Rattus norvegicus: one gene and its partners. The protein of the gene in region 1 purifies or fractionates together with the protein of each later gene. This does not show direct contact. Links are inferred from orthologs where the notes say so. Each region holds a gene or a part of one and is shown in the gene's direction. Other genes may lie near its edges.

What was found. Proteins that work in one complex are often made in the same cells at the same time.
Region 2: the proteins of Cxxc1 (region 1) and Bod1l1 purify together in Homo sapiens (affinity purification with mass spectrometry; 5 studies listed by BioGRID and IntAct, counting the BioPlex papers as one, with this or other methods). This does not show direct contact. The link is inferred for Rattus norvegicus from reciprocal best matches to the Homo sapiens genes CXXC1 and BOD1L1.
Region 3: the proteins of Cxxc1 (region 1) and Wdr82 purify together in Homo sapiens (affinity purification with western blotting; 7 studies listed by BioGRID and IntAct, with this or other methods). This does not show direct contact. The link is inferred for Rattus norvegicus from reciprocal best matches to the Homo sapiens genes CXXC1 and WDR82.
Region 4: the proteins of Cxxc1 (region 1) and Setd1b purify together in Homo sapiens (affinity purification with mass spectrometry; 11 studies listed by BioGRID and IntAct, counting the BioPlex papers as one, with this or other methods). This does not show direct contact. The link is inferred for Rattus norvegicus from reciprocal best matches to the Homo sapiens genes CXXC1 and SETD1B.

The regions. Positions count from the first base shown.
Region 1 is NC_086036.1:70,087,216-70,091,525, forward strand, and holds the start of Cxxc1 (CXXC-type zinc finger protein 1), read left to right. Parts: upstream 1-1,510; 5' UTR 1,511-1,563; coding exon 1,564-1,566; intron 1,567-2,228; coding exon 2,229-2,347; intron 2,348-2,449; coding exon 2,450-2,550; intron 2,551-2,840; coding exon 2,841-3,076; intron 3,077-3,164; coding exon 3,165-3,359; intron 3,360-3,713; coding exon 3,714-3,740; intron 3,741-3,816; coding exon 3,817-4,059; intron 4,060-4,212; coding exon 4,213-4,310. UniProt on the Homo sapiens protein: Transcriptional activator that exhibits a unique DNA binding specificity for CpG unmethylated motifs with a preference for CpGG.
Region 2 is NC_086032.1:73,337,867-73,341,383, forward strand, and holds part of Bod1l1 (biorientation of chromosomes in cell division protein 1-like 1), read left to right. Parts: intron 1-675; coding exon 676-787; intron 788-1,278; coding exon 1,279-1,417; intron 1,418-3,517. UniProt on the Homo sapiens protein: Component of the fork protection machinery required to protect stalled/damaged replication forks from uncontrolled DNA2-dependent resection.
Region 3 is NC_086026.1:115,703,284-115,706,800, forward strand, and holds part of Wdr82 (WD repeat-containing protein 82), read left to right. Parts: intron 1-2,429; coding exon 2,430-2,529; intron 2,530-2,994; coding exon 2,995-3,111; intron 3,112-3,468; coding exon 3,469-3,517. UniProt on the Homo sapiens protein: Regulatory component of the SET1/COMPASS complex implicated in the tethering of this complex to transcriptional start sites of active genes.
Region 4 is NC_086030.1:39,068,896-39,072,412, reverse strand, and holds part of Setd1b (histone-lysine N-methyltransferase SETD1B), read left to right. Parts: coding exon 1-589; intron 590-3,517. UniProt on the Homo sapiens protein: Histone methyltransferase that catalyzes methyl group transfer from S-adenosyl-L-methionine to the epsilon-amino group of 'Lys-4' of histone H3 (H3K4) via a non-processive mechanism.

The DNA.
Region 1 (4,310 bases):
CAAAAGCAAGGTTAGTATGTTTAGGGACTTTCCCAGACCCATCCTGGAACCAGTGACTTAGTCTTTGATTCCGTTTTGTCACGCAGACTAGGTCTTTGTTCCTGTTGGTTCCGAGGCCTGAATGATGTTTTTTATTTTCGGTGTCAGTTGATTTAAGTGTGGAAGTCAAAAACCATTTGTGGTTGTCAGTCCTCACCTCCCATCCTCCTGTCTAAGTTCTGGGAATAGAACTCAGGTTGCCAGGCTGGGCTACAAGGGTCTTTCCTGGCTAAGCTGTTTCACTGGCCCTAAGAACTCTTTTCATTATTTGTTTTTGTAATACTAGGAGTCGAACTAAGGCCCTTCGTACTTTTACTTGGGAATTACTGTACTTGGCACTGTTTTCACTTCAGGGCTATGTAATTAATATCGTGATAATACTGGCTCTGAATGTCTTTTCTAACACTCATTTCATTTATTTATTTATTTATTTATTTATTTATTTATTTATTTATTGGTCTCCTTCTCTATGCCCCTAAACTCCCAATAGGGTTTCAAAATTGTGCAAGCTGGACTTCAACTCTAGGCAAGCCTTGTTAATTTGCATCCTTTAACCCCAGCCCCATCAGTGCTGGTATTACCAGCATATGCCACCATGCTCAAGAAGTTAAGACTTTTTTTTCAGTCAGAAGTGATCACTCATGACTTTAATCCCACTACCTGAGAGGGAGAGGCAGGTGGATTTCTGTGAGTTTGAGGACGGCCTGATGTACACAGTGAGTTGAAGCACAGCTAGGACTAGAGAGACTCTGTCCCAAAAAAACAAAAACAAACAAAAAAAAAACCCAAAACAAAACAAAAAAACAAAGCAAAACAAAAAACTAGGCCTAGCTAAAAAACATGATTTGGGAGGCAGATAAAAGTGGAGCAAGAACTGGGCCAGGTACTGGCACGACATTTATTTCCCTCTCCGGAGGCCTGGCATTCCCATTGATAAGCATCGAAGGGTAAATGATTGGATGCAGGAATGAATGAGACACATGTAGGCAGTAACAGGATTAACCAGTCTGTGGCAGCAGCAGACACTGTACGGAGTCAAATATCAAGTTGGCCACGCCCTTCGGAAGCCGTGATCCGGAAGCTACTGTTTGTTGCCTAGGAACGCACGGAGCCCGCCTGATGACGCTAATCAGCTGACGACATCTGCGTCCCAACGTCGAAGCAAATGCGGCCATATTGCCCTCTGGCGGCCACCGTACGGACTTGACTGACAAGGTGGCGGCGCGCTCGGACGACCCGAACTGTAGGCGCAGCCATACTTCCCGGAACGTATGGTCTCCGCTGTCTTACGGACTGGATGGTCAAGATGGCGGCGACAAGGAGACATTCGAGGCTCTAGATGGGCGACCTATTTGTTTGCCGCTAAGCGGTCGCGCCAGGCGTGGGGAGTGAGAGTGCGGGACCGCGGAGGCGGGACCAGTGGCGGAAGTAGTTGCGGGTGCCTTTGCTACCGCGGCCGAGGGGCTTGTTCAGCTTCGCGGGTTGCTGCGCGGGGTCCAGAGAGGGTGCTCTGTGAGCGGAGATATGGTGAGTACCTGGTCGGATCGGGGTTCAGAGGCAGAGGTCGGAGGGGTTGGCAACCGCTGCCTATTGGCAGGCGCACGGGGTTCCTGGCGAGCTGTGTGCCCAGTCTCTGGGCCGGTGAGTGAAGGGGTGTGATGAGGTTTGAGGTGAACCATCTGTGAGTTCTTTGATGAACCGTTGTAGGGGGTCCGTAGTGGAAGTTCAGTGGGGACTCCAGATGGCAGTTTTGTGGGAAACCTTCACGCGAAGTACCTTCGTCAGAGAGATAAGGACTTGGCCATGAATGTATTTGCACAGGCTCTGGAGAACCGGCATTGGGGGTGGGGTCCACGAGCTAAGTTATAGACACTTGTGGGAAGTCGGGATGGGACGACAGCAGAATAAATTTAAGTGCTCTCCGTGTAGAACTCTTGAATGGGACAGTTTGGTTGAGTGTATGCGATGAGCAGTCAGAGTGACAGGATGCTTGACAGTGTGATGGGAGGTCTGAGTGATGGGGAAGTAGAACACAAAGTAATGAGGCCCAGGACTAGGTGAGGAGGGTCTGGGTGAACTATAACGGAAAGGCTAACGGGAAGTCCGAAGACACAGTTGGAATTTGTGGCTATCCACGGTGGAGCTGTGAAGAGGGAATTAAGGAGCCATCATGGGGGTGGGTCTCACAGGAAGGAGATGGCTCAGACCTGGAACCTCCAGATGCTGGGGAGGACAGCAAGTCTGAGAATGGGGAGAACGCCCCCATCTACTGCATCTGTCGCAAACCGGACATCAATTGCTTCATGATGTGAGTTTGGGAGAAGCAGGTGGGCTGATGCCTGGCAGGGGCGGGAACCCGGTGAAGCGGACCCACCCCTCACATCTCCACCACTTGCTCTATTCTATGCAGTGGATGTGACAACTGCAACGAGTGGTTTCATGGGGACTGCATCCGCATCACCGAGAAGATGGCCAAGGCCATCCGGGAATGGTACTGTCGCGAGTGCCGAGGTGAGGCTTGTGCATGGGCAGTGAAGGAGGTGGACTCCAAGAGATGAAGGAGCTGTAATGGGAGGGATCCTGGGTGATAATGGTGTCCTGTGTGGCCAGAGTGATCGTTGGTCTGTGGTGAATTGGAAGGCCAGCTCCAATGTGAGCAATTGTGGAAGAACCCAAAGGAAGGGGCAGCTCTCCCATAGCGTGAGCTGGACAAGTAGGTGGGGCAGGAAAAGAGAAAGAGGTTCTGGGACCATTCAAACCTCTCCTCCAAACCCACCTTGGCTCCACTCTTTGCCTCACAGAGAAGGACCCGAAGCTGGAGATTCGTTACCGCCACAAAAAGTGCCGGGAGAGGGATGGCAGTGAGCGGGACGGCAGTGAGCCCCGGGATGAGGGAGGAGGGCGCAAGAGGCCTGCTTCAGATCCAGAACTGCAGCGCCGGGCAGGGTCAGGGACAGGGGTTGGGGCCATGCTTGCTCGGGGCTCTGCTTCGCCCCACAAATCTTCTCCACAGCCCTTGGTGGCCACACCTAGCCAGGTGAGTAGCCACAGTGCTCGGGGTGGGTGAAAGTTCTGCTTTGGGCCTCATCTATATCCTCATCTCTACCCTGGATACTGTCTCCTAGCATCACCAGCAACAGCAGCAGCAGCAGCAGCAGCAGCAAATCAAACGGTCAGCTCGGATGTGTGGTGAGTGTGAGGCATGCCGACGCACTGAGGACTGTGGCCACTGTGACTTCTGTCGTGACATGAAGAAGTTTGGGGGCCCCAACAAGATCCGGCAGAAGTGCCGGCTTCGCCAGTGTCAGCTGCGGGCACGGGTGAGCATGGGCAGAGCTGGGCAAGATCAGATAGGAGAGCATGGCTGGGAGGCTCAAGTAGGGCTGCTTGAGCTACAAATAAGAAAGTACAGGTGGGGTGGAGCTTGGTTATGTTCAGACATGTGGGAGGGGCCTAGCAAGTTCAGGGGAAAGCTGGGGGTAGGGTGGGGGGGATGATAGCTTTAGGTTGTCAAGCATGCCAGGACACATGGGGTAGGATGGAGTATATCTGTGGTGAGGGGAGGGGAAAACTGCATTTGTTAGACCAGGCAAGGCCAGGGTAAGTAAATGGGGTTAGGACAGGGAAGACCTTTATTTTCCTGGGGCTGACCTAGGCCTTCCTCCTGCGCACAGGAATCGTACAAGTACTTCCCTTCCTCGGTGAGTCCAGCCCCCCAGGGCGGGGCAGGGCTGCGGGCAGGGCGGTCAGGGCCAGTCCTGAGATTCTGCCCCGCAGCTCTCGCCGGTGACACCCTCAGAGGCCCTGCCAAGGCCCCGCCGGCCACCACCCACTCAACAGCAGCCACAGCAATCCCAGAAGCTGGGGCGTATCCGTGAAGATGAGGGGACAGTGTTGTCATCAGTGGTTAAGGAGCCACCAGAGGCTACAGCAACACCTGAGCCACTCTCAGATGAGGACCTAGCACTGGACCCTGATCTGTACCAGGATTTCTGTGCTGGGGCCTTTGATGATCACGTAGTGAGTAACATGGTCATCCTGTGGTGGGGAGGAAGGGGAAAAGGTGAAGTCGTAGAATGGGGAGGGGGCCAGAGGGCGAACAGGCTGCTTGGGAAATGAGCAGCAGGTGTGGTAACGAGTCATCAGGTGGGTCAGCGCATGCCCTGCTTGCAGCCATGGATGAGTGACGCAGAAGAGTCCCCGTTCCTGGATCCTGCACTGAGGAAGCGGGCAGTAAAAGTGAAGCATGTGAAGCGTCGAGAGAAGAAGTC
Region 2 (3,517 bases), on another chromosome or scaffold:
GTCACTTGAAGTTCTGAAGACTTACCCATTTATGCTTGATATTTATGTTTCTATGACTTTTCTCTCAAATAACAGTACTCTTTTGTGGTTGTAGCATCACCTTTTTTCAGATAATGCCTTTTCTTCTTCAAATTAATAGCATTCTAATATAATAATTAAGTTTTCCTATCTGTGCCTTCTATCAGCTGGTAGCTTCCAAAACAGAGTAGTCATACCCATACCTAGGCACACACAGTTAATATCTGCTTCCTTTTTTTTTCTTTTCTTTTTTTTTTTAAGATTTGTGTGTATGTTTTGCCTGTGTGTATGTGTATGCCTGCAGAGGTTAGAAGGTGTTAAATTTCCTGAAAAGTGGACTTAGTGATGATTGTATGCTATCATGTGGTTGCTGGGAACAACCTTAGTCAGCCTGGGTCATCTGTGAGAACAGCACGTGCTCTTAACCACTGAACCATACTTTTGCATATTCTATTGATTTGTAAAAACATCAGAAGAACAAACTAAAACTTTGTTGGTGGGGGCGACTTTGAGTACTAGGGTTTACAACCCAAGGCCTCCCTCATTTGCAGAGCCGGATCAATACCTCAAGGATGTACTCTCAGCTATTTTCTCACATACATTCTTTCAGAGTGTCTTTGCTTTTACCTGATAATATTCGGGCAATTGTGGTTTTAGGCTAAAGAAAAAGAAGAGAGACTTTTAAGAAGACGAATCAATAGAGAAAAACTTGAAGAAAAACGAAAACAGAAAGCAGAAAAGACAAAGTCTTCCAAAGCGAAGAGCCAAGGTATAGCAGATATTACTGTTATTTGAGAGTATCTTATACACACCATCATTTTCTAGTTAGTCTCATATTCCTTGTGGCATATGCACATAAAAAGGTGATATGTTCCTAAGTGTGGAAGAATTTATTCTGCAGTAATGGTGGAATGGATTTCAGATAGAAGCAGATGAGCATTTCCAATGATGATAATGCAGCTCACATCATCTTTGCTTTTTCCTTTTACTTTTGTTATTTCCTCTGATGCTGGGGATTGAAATCAAGGCCACAGACTTGCTAAACACAAGCTCTGCCCCAGACTGTATTGCAGCCCTTATGTTGACTTTTATCTGGCACAGTAAATATAACAAAATTGGCGTCTGTTTTTCCTAGCAGAAACGGAGACTCCTTCGAAGCTATTTTGTGTTTTATACTGATTATAAAGCTGTAATGAAAAGTAAATAGAGCACTGTTACAGAACTGTCTTCTGAAATAAAGCTTCTTTATTTACTTTCTAGGCAAAAGTAGTGTGGACCTAGAAGACTCGTCAACTAAGACTTTGGAACCTAAAGCCCCAAGAATTAAAGAAGTCCTTAAAGAACGGAAAGTTTTAGAGAAGAAAGTAGCTTTAAGCAAAAGAAGAAGAAAAGATTCAAGGTGCATTTTTACCTGTTATATTCTGAGTGTCACATTAATGGTGTGTTTGCAGAAGAACAGCTTTGAAAGTGGGCATAGGCTGTCTTAAAAAGTAGCTGGGCATAGTGTGGAATGCATATAATCCCAATACTGGGGAGGCAGGAGCAGTGGGATCTCTGTGAATTTGAGGCCATCCTGATCTACACAGAGAGTAAGGACAGCCAGGGCTATAGACAGAGACCCTATCTCCCCATTTAAAAAAAAAAAGTCCTTTTCACTTCTTGATGGATTGTGAGTTTCTGTGTTAACCATCATTTTTTGCACAAAGAGACATCTCTGTTGAGGTCTGAGAACTGTACTAATCTATAGGTGTAGAAATAACCCTAGAACTCTGGCCTTGAGCTCACTCTGGTCCTTCTGCCATGGCCTCTCCAGTGCTGGAATTAAAGGTGTGTAGCTTTTTTAGAGAGAGGAATTTATAGGGCAGTTTGATTTTATATCTATTCAGCAAAATAAAAGTAGTATGTCCACCTCTGGGTCCCATGAACTCTCGAATCATGCATTTTAAATGTCATAAGTATTTAATATTAGTATGACTAATATGAAAATTAGTCAAATTTACAGTACCGGGCACATGTCTCTTGTGGATCAGGCCTTAAATCCAACCAGAACATGATTAGTGACACCCATAATGTTCATGCCACTGTTGCACCTATGAGCATGTCTTACCATGCTGGTGGTTGTTGGAGCTCACAGGGTTCACAGCTCTGTGGACTGTTGATGACTCCCTCCATCCCCAGGAGCCTGCTTAATACCTTCTGGTACTTTGAAGTTTACCCAGCAGGGAAGAAGCTTTGAGAATAGTACTAGCTTGATTTCTCCATGTCCTGTGGTTGCAACCAAGATCAGTGATAATAGCTAGTACTGTTTTGGGAATCTCTGAGACTCCTTCCCAACCAACAACTTGAGAAGAAGCATCTGACACTTGGGTAGTTATTTGGCAACCTAGGGCTTCTAGGGGAAGCATTTTCCTCTGAATATCTGGGGATAGAACTCAGGCCACCTGTCTTGGCAGGAAGCAGCTTTATTTAATGGGCCATCTTGCTGACCTTGACATTCGTTTATTATTATTATTATTATTATTATTATTATTATTATTATTATTATTAATCATTCCATTTGTTTACATCTGAAATGATATCCCATATTCTTAATAGAAAAGCAGGAACTGTTGCACCCATGGGAATGATTTGTACTACAACAGACGAATAAAAATTAAAAAAAAAAAAAAAAAACAAAAACAAAAACCAATCTGTCAGAAAAAAAAAGAAAAGAAAGTCTCATGTTGACTGTAGGTGTTACTGTGTGTTTATAAAGGCCTTGCCTTGCAGTTTATTGTTTTACCGTTTTTCATTGTGTTACTACCTATAGCATTTTAAAGTACATTTTTAATCTATGAAAATATGACAGACGCTTTAGATTGTGTCCTAGAAAGTGTATATACATAGACATCAATTCTCCCCTGTTGCAGGGAGTTGACTTTATGGGCTCCTGGAAGTAATTGTAGAAGCATCACGTCTGGGCCAGTGTAACCACTTCTAACAGAGGTTGCCTCTGTTCACTAGTCTTCCCAGCACCTATTTTAACATCACGCCATGATTTCCTCTTCACTGAAAGTTGGTTTTTTTTTTTTAAGTACTGTATTTTCATTGCTTCTATTAGTTATTGAAGAATTACAGAGAAACTCTTGAAAATAGCTATGATGTAATGTGAACCATAGTCTACAATTTTATTATTCCATTCCAATTCCTTTCTTAAACTCACTAATTTTATTTTATGTGTATGTGTATTTGTCTACATGCATTTATGTGTATCACGTATGTGCAGAAACCTGTGGAGACCGGGAGATGGTGTTGAATACTCTTGAACTGGAGTTACAAACGGTTGTGAGCTGTCATGTGGGTGCTAGGACCTGAACCCAGGTCTTCTAGAAGAGTAGTGGATGCTTTTAGTGGTTAAGCTCTCTGTCCAGCCCATCATTACAATTATGTAAATTAGTCATAAACTTGAAGATAAGTGGATTTATAGAACTCAGAGAGAGGGGAGCCAGTTCTCAGGTTT
Region 3 (3,517 bases), on another chromosome or scaffold:
GTTAAGAAACATGTGGGCTAAAGTTATTAGGTGAAAACTTAATGCTGTAAAAATCAGACTTGGTATTTAGCAATACCAAATCCAAGATAGCTCTTAACAAAAGAACCATTTGCATTTATGAGGCCTTCCTCTGTGGAGGCCAACATTTGTGTTGGACTGTACATGAACAATGTCCCATATATGAAGGGATTTTATTATTGTTTGGTTTTATTTATGTATATGATTATTTATATTTATATTGTTTAGTCTCCATATATATGTGCACACCAGAAGAGGTCATTAATCACTGAGCCATCTCTACAGCTTCCCCCTACCCCCTTTTGAGACAGGGTCCTTGGCCGTCCTAGAACTTACAGTGTAGACCAGGTTGACTTACAGAGAGAGATCTGCCTGTCTCTGCCTCCTAAGTGCTGAGACTAAACACATGTATGATACAGATGATACAGAGCTGTGTGTGCGGTGCCCTGACAGGTATTGTGTCCTTTTGCTATCTACCTGTTCACCTTTGGGCTTCGGCAATAGAACAAAGAAATGATTCCACCGAAGTCTTCACTTTGTGAGTCACTAAGTGTAATTGTGGTCCTTACAGAAGCACGGGCAACTGAAATGGCATCTCCCTTGTCTCCCAAGTAATTGTTAATTCCTTATATGTCTGAAGGAGCAGGGTCCTGAGGGTTCCTCGATAGCAGCTCCCAACTGTTCTGACTTCGAGAGGGCCATGCCATGCCTAAAGGATGACAGGAGGGATAGCTGAGCGCTGCCTGTTAGAAGTGGCCCTTCTACTGCGTGGGGTGACACACACTTTTAATCCCAGGACCCAGGAGGCAGGGGCTCTGTGAATTGGAAGCCAATCTAGTGTGCATAACAAGCTCCAGGATGACCAGGGCTATGCAGCTGTCTCAAAAAGCAAGCAAACATCAAAAAGTGTACTTGAGCTGAGCCAGGTAGTATATTCCTGTGTCCTGGTGCTCTGGAGGATGAGGTAGAAAGATTGTTTAGAGAGAGAACTTTGGATACATAGTAAACTGAAGGTCACCCTGGGATACATATTAACACCCTGTCTCAAACTCCTTCCCCTTCAAAGTAATTCAGTAAAGAAATTGCACTTGTAAGCAGGTGGGGTATTTCTGCGTTGCAGAAGACAGGAAGTGTTGGTTACTGTGTAATGCCAAAGGATAGGCCACTGGTCATTTGCTTTCTTCTAGTGTTGGCACCTTGTGACCTGGCAGGTAAGTTTCCTACTGACCACAGGTTACATTCCCTGTGCTATCAGCCTTTTGTATCAACTGAGACCTTCTCTGAACTTTTAGAGCTAAATACTGTGACAAAACTGCATGTTTATAAGCATTCTGCTCCCTCTGTGTAAATGTAGCAGGATGGGCTACATGAAACCCTATCTCAAAACAAATAAAATAAGAAACACTTAGTGATCTATGTATGTAGATGTGTAGTAGGAAATCAGCACTACTATAATTCCAGAATGTTTTTATCACCCCTAAGAGAAACCCTGTACCCATTAGGGGCCATTCATCTAAGCGCTGTCTCTAGATTTCCATATAAATGGCATCAACATGTGGCCTTTTGTGTTTGGTCTCTTTCATGTACATGATGTTTTTGAAGTTCATCCTTGTAGTCATATGAATTAGCACTTGGTTTCTCTTTATTCTCAAATAATGTTGTGCCGTGTTTTTGTAGCCCACGTCTTGGTGGTTTGTCAGTCAGTGCACATTTGGGTTATTCCCGTTTATAATGCTACTGTAAAATGTGAACATTTTTGTGTAGACATTTTCACTTTGCTCAAGTCCTTAGACCTAGGTGTAGAGTTTCTTAAGTCACATGACCATCTTTCCAGAAAAAGTAAGGTTTGTTGTTCAGGTTGGTTGCTTCGACTTTTCTGTGGTGGGGTCAGGGGACTGGACTTGGAACTCACTATGTAGATGAGGCTGGCACTGAACTCAGATCCATCCACCTGCCTCTACCTCCCAAGCACCACCACACCCATCCTGAGAGGATTGTAGAGCATCTGTACAATTTATTTCCTCAGTGGTATATAAGGAGTTCTGACTCTCCCCTTCTCTTCCCCAGCACCGAGCCGCCTCTTATGACAGCCATTAGCGGGTGTGCATTAGTAGCTCACTGTGCTTTGACTCTTGGTAGAGTCACATACTTTGTTTTTAACACTACCTTGTTAAACCATCTTCCACTGAACCATCCTTTTTTTCTTTTCACAAATGCTCTGTGTTGATTTTTTTTTTTTTTCTCCATTGTATTAGCTGCTCTCGGTTGCTCTAGATAAGTCTGTGTATGCTTCCTAAGATGTTAGCCCTGGGAAGACAGGTATATATGTAGACAAGCAGAATGGTTTAGGGCTCACATCCAATTTTTGCTCATATTTTGCTTCAACTCCTATTTATCTTGATACATTGCAGGGTGGTGGCCTTGTCCATGTCACCTGTGGATGACACTTTCATTTCTGGGTCTCTTGATAAGACCATTCGACTCTGGGATCTCCGGTCTCCTAACTGCCAGGTAATGGTACCTCACAGTTACATTTTTGAGCATTTTCTGTGGAAAGCATTATCAGCTCTCCCTCTCCGTTAAGGGAGACAACAGTGGTTCCATTTTGGGATCCCAGAGTCTTGTTATGTGGCAGCAAAACCTTTTACTAGTTGGCTCTGCTGGATGAGCAGATAGCCCACTCCAGAGCAGACTGCATTGTAATGTGGCTTAGTGCTTGAAAATGTTGCCTAGAGCCTTTAGCCTCCAGGACTTTGTCTCTCTCTGACTCTGTAATGGTGTAGATAAGGTTGGTGGGATGCACCCATCCTGTGGTGACCTTTTACATTTTAGTCAGAGTTTTATTTGTTTACTTTTTAATCTTTTGTAGGTATCCTGGGTACAGTTCCTATTCCTTCCTTAGTTTTCAGTGGAAAAAGTCAATGATTGAGTAGTGGGCTCCTTCATTTATTAACTCTCTGTCCTCTTCTCTCTTAGGGCCTCATGCATCTACAGGGCAAACCCGTTTGTTCCTTTGATCCAGAAGGGTTAATTTTTGCTGCAGGTGTCAACTCAGAAATGGTCAAACTTTATGACCTTCGTTCTTTTGATAAGGTAAATCTTTGAATCCTAGAGCTATCTTGAGGTTACAGAAAGGGCAACTTGGACATTTAAGGACCCTTTGGGCCAGACATGGTGGTACACACCTTTAATCCCAGCACTCCAGGGCAGTTACAGGTGGATCTCCATGAGTTCCAGGCCAGCCAGTGCTACATACACATAGTGAGACCTGTCTAAAGAGACTGCCTTCCTGTGGTAGAGGAGGATGGCGGCTAACAGAGTCACAGTGATTCACCCTTTGCTGCCCACTCAGGAAGAATCTAGATGGTACGGTAGACAATAAGAGAAGGAGTTCTGAGAAGGGAAGTGTGGTGTCTGGAGTGTGGGAACTGCTATGTTTGTGTTTTGCAGGGTCCATTTGCTACCTTTAAGATGCAGTATGATCGGACTTGTGAGTGGA
Region 4 (3,517 bases), on another chromosome or scaffold:
GCCGCCACCACCACCACCACCACCACCAGCCCATCCTGCAGTGACAGTCCCCCCGCCACCCTTGCCAGCGCCCCCGGGTGTCCCACCCCCACCCATCCTTCCACCACTGCCGCCCTTCCCGCCAGGACTGTTTCCTGTGATGCAGGTGGACATGAGCCATGTGCTGGGTGGGCAGTGGGGCGGCATGCCCATGTCCTTCCAGATGCAAACACAGATGTTAAGCCGGCTCATGACAGGCCAGGGTACTTGCCCCTACCCACCCTTCATGGCCGCTGCCGCCGCTGCCGCTTCTGCTGGGCTACAGTTTGTCAACTTGCCCCCCTACCGGAGCCCGTTCTCCCTGAGCAACAGTGGCCCAGGACGTGGACAGCACTGGCCGCCCCTGCCCAAGTTTGACCCCTCTGTGCCACCACCAGGCTACATACCGCGTCAGGAGGATCCGCACAAGGCCACAGTGGATGGGGTCCTGCTAGTAGTGCTCAAGGAACTGAAGGCCATTATGAAGCGGGATCTCAACCGCAAGATGGTGGAGGTGGTGGCCTTCCGGGCCTTTGACGAATGGTGGGACAAAAAGGAGCGGATGGCCAAGGTATGTAGGCGGATGCTCAGGGAGCCTCTTAGGGTGACGAGAGGGCTGGTAACAACTTTCTGAAGACGTGTCACTGGATGTGTGCTCACCTCTGAGACACCCCTTAAAAAGTGCTGATAATTGGGGTGTCAGTGGTGCACAGCTTTAATCCCAGTGCTTGGGAGGGAGAGGCAGGTGGGCCTCTGAGTTTTGGGTCAGCGAGGGTGACACAGAGAAACCCTGTCTTGAGAGAGAGAGAGCAAGAGAGAGAGAGAGGGGCGCAGAGGCAGGCAGGCACTAACTGTGCAGGTTGGACCCCTGGCACTGGCTGCATGTGGCCCTTCCCCTTTAAATAAGAGGAGAGTGCACATCAGACACTGTCCAGGCTGAGTTTCAGGTCTCAGTGCCCTCCTGACCAGGCTGTCAGTCCATGTGGTCCCACAGCCAAGAAAGGCCTCTGCGACCTGACTCTCCTTCCTTTTCTCTTCTGATACATGTGGCACATCTAACCTTGTAGGCACTGCCGCTTTCTCTTCTTCTCGGAGGCTTGTTTATCTAGACCTTCACAACCTATTCCTAACTGACCCCCTCTACACACGGAGAGACATTTTCTTGACTCCTTTTTTTCTTTTTTCTTTTTTTTTTTTTAAAGATTTAATCATTTATTATATATAAGTACACTGTAGCTGTCTTCAGATACACCAGAAGAGGGCATCGGATCTCTTTACAGATGGTTGTGAGCCACCATGTGGTTGCTGGGAATTGAACTCAGGACCTCTGGAAGAGTAGTCGGGTGCTCTTAACTGCTGAGCCATCTCTCCAGCCCCGAGTCCTTTTTTCTTAAGGGATGGAGTCTCAGCCTCTGCTCCCGTCTCAGCTGTAGAAGCTGCAAGGACAGGCACTTGCCTGGCTTTAATGGTTTTTTTGTTGTTGTTGTTTTAAGGTTTATTTATTATATAAAAAGCACACTGTAGCAGTCTTCAGACACACCAGAAGAGGGCACCAGGTCTCATTACAGATACCATGTGGTTGCTGGGATTTGAACTCAGGACCTGTGGAAGAGCAGTCAGGTGCTCTTAACCACTGAGCCATCCCTCCAGCCGGCCTTTAGTGCTTTTAAATCATCCTCTCAATTAAGCCGAGAGCAGTGTTACACACCTTTAACCCCAGCCCTGAGGGGTGGGATGGGAGGTGGGGGAGGCAAAGGCTACAGGATCTCCACGAGTTTGAGGCTAGCCAAGGTTACATAGTGAGACCCTGTCTCAAAAAAGCAAATCACGGTGAAAATAATTGAAAGAAATGCCTCAGTAGATGCCCTTGCTTCTTGTCCTCGCTGCCCTTGCTTCTCGTCCTCGCTGCCCCTCACCCCAGCCACAGAGGAGAGCAGCGGACTTGACAGTTTGGCTGTCCCTCCCTGCACTGCACCCTAGGGAGCCTTGTGACTAGGAACTTGTTCTCTGCAGTGTAGGTGAGGCCTGTCAGGACTCATATTATGGGGGCAATAAAACCAGAGAGAACAGCCTGCCACGCGTTCTTTTGTCCTGTTCTCACCCCCCCTCACATCCTCCCTCCCCCACCAGTAACAGTCACAGCTAACTAAAGCTATGTCGTCGGTAACTTGAAGTGCCAGAGCTCTGAAGATGGTTCATTTCGTGCAGTTCTTGTCCATCCTTTCAATCCAGTGTGTCAGAGCCTCGAGTGGCCTCTGTGGGGGACACTGAAGAGCTGTGGGGGCGCGTCCTGTAGTTTGATTTCTGTTATTTTGTTGTTACTGTTCCTTGTTTTGTTTTGTTTTCGTTTTTCAAGACAGGGTTTCTCTGTCTGGCCTTGACCGCCTTGGAGATCATTCTGTAGACCAGGCTGGCCTCTCTGGCTTTGAACTCATAGAGAGCCTCCTGCCTCTGTCACCCATGCACTGGGATTAAAGATCTGGGTGTGCCACCACCCGCAGGCTGTTGTGGGGTTTTTTGTTTTTTGGTTTTTTTTTTTTTTTCTTTTAAAGGTTTTATTTTTGATGTGAGTACACTGTCACTCTCTTCAGACGTTCCAGAAGAGGGCACCAGATCCCATTACAGATGGTCGTGAGCCACCATGTGGGTGCTGGGAATTGAACTCAGAGACCTCTGAAAGAGCAGTCAGTACCCTTAAGCACTGAGCCGTCTCCCTGGCCCCTGTTGTGGTTTTTAAGACAAGATTTCACTGTGTTGTCCTGACTGGCTGTTACTTGCTACTTAGCCCAGGTTAGCTTCCAACTCAGAGATCCACCTGACTCTCATACATACTGTAGACAGCCTCATTTTAATTAAAGCTAAATCTGGTTTATGTTTAAGTAAAATACTCACCGAAGGCACGCATTTAATTCTGGTACTCAGGATGGAGAAGAAAGTGGAATCTCTGTGGGTTCGAGGCCAGCCTGGTCTACAAAGCAAGTTCCAGGACAGCCTAGACTACATAGAGAAACCCTAACTCAAACAAACGAACAAACAAAAACAACAAACAAAACTAAACAAAGACAGTCACTAACCCAGGCTTACCTCAAATTCCCTTTGTCATAGAGAATGATTTTAAGGTGAGAATTGTCCTGTTTCCTCCGGGGTGTTAGGATCCCAAGTGTGCCTGACCACACACAGTTTAGCAGAATGAAACCTAAGTCCTCATGCTTGCTAGACAAGCACTCTTCTAGCTGAGGTGTATCCGCAGCCCTGAATACACTCCTCCAGCTGCTGGCAGTCCCTGAGCCAGATGTGAAACACATCTGTCATCCAGCACATGGGAGGTGCCCCCACCACCCCTGCCAGGAACATCAAGGCCAGCCTTAGCTACACAACTCTATGCACACACAACACAAGTGTGTTAGAGACGTCTCAGCCAGTTATAAGCACTGGCTACTCTTGTAGAGGACCCATGTTCATTTGCCAGCAACCACATGGCAGGCCAAAGCTATCTGTA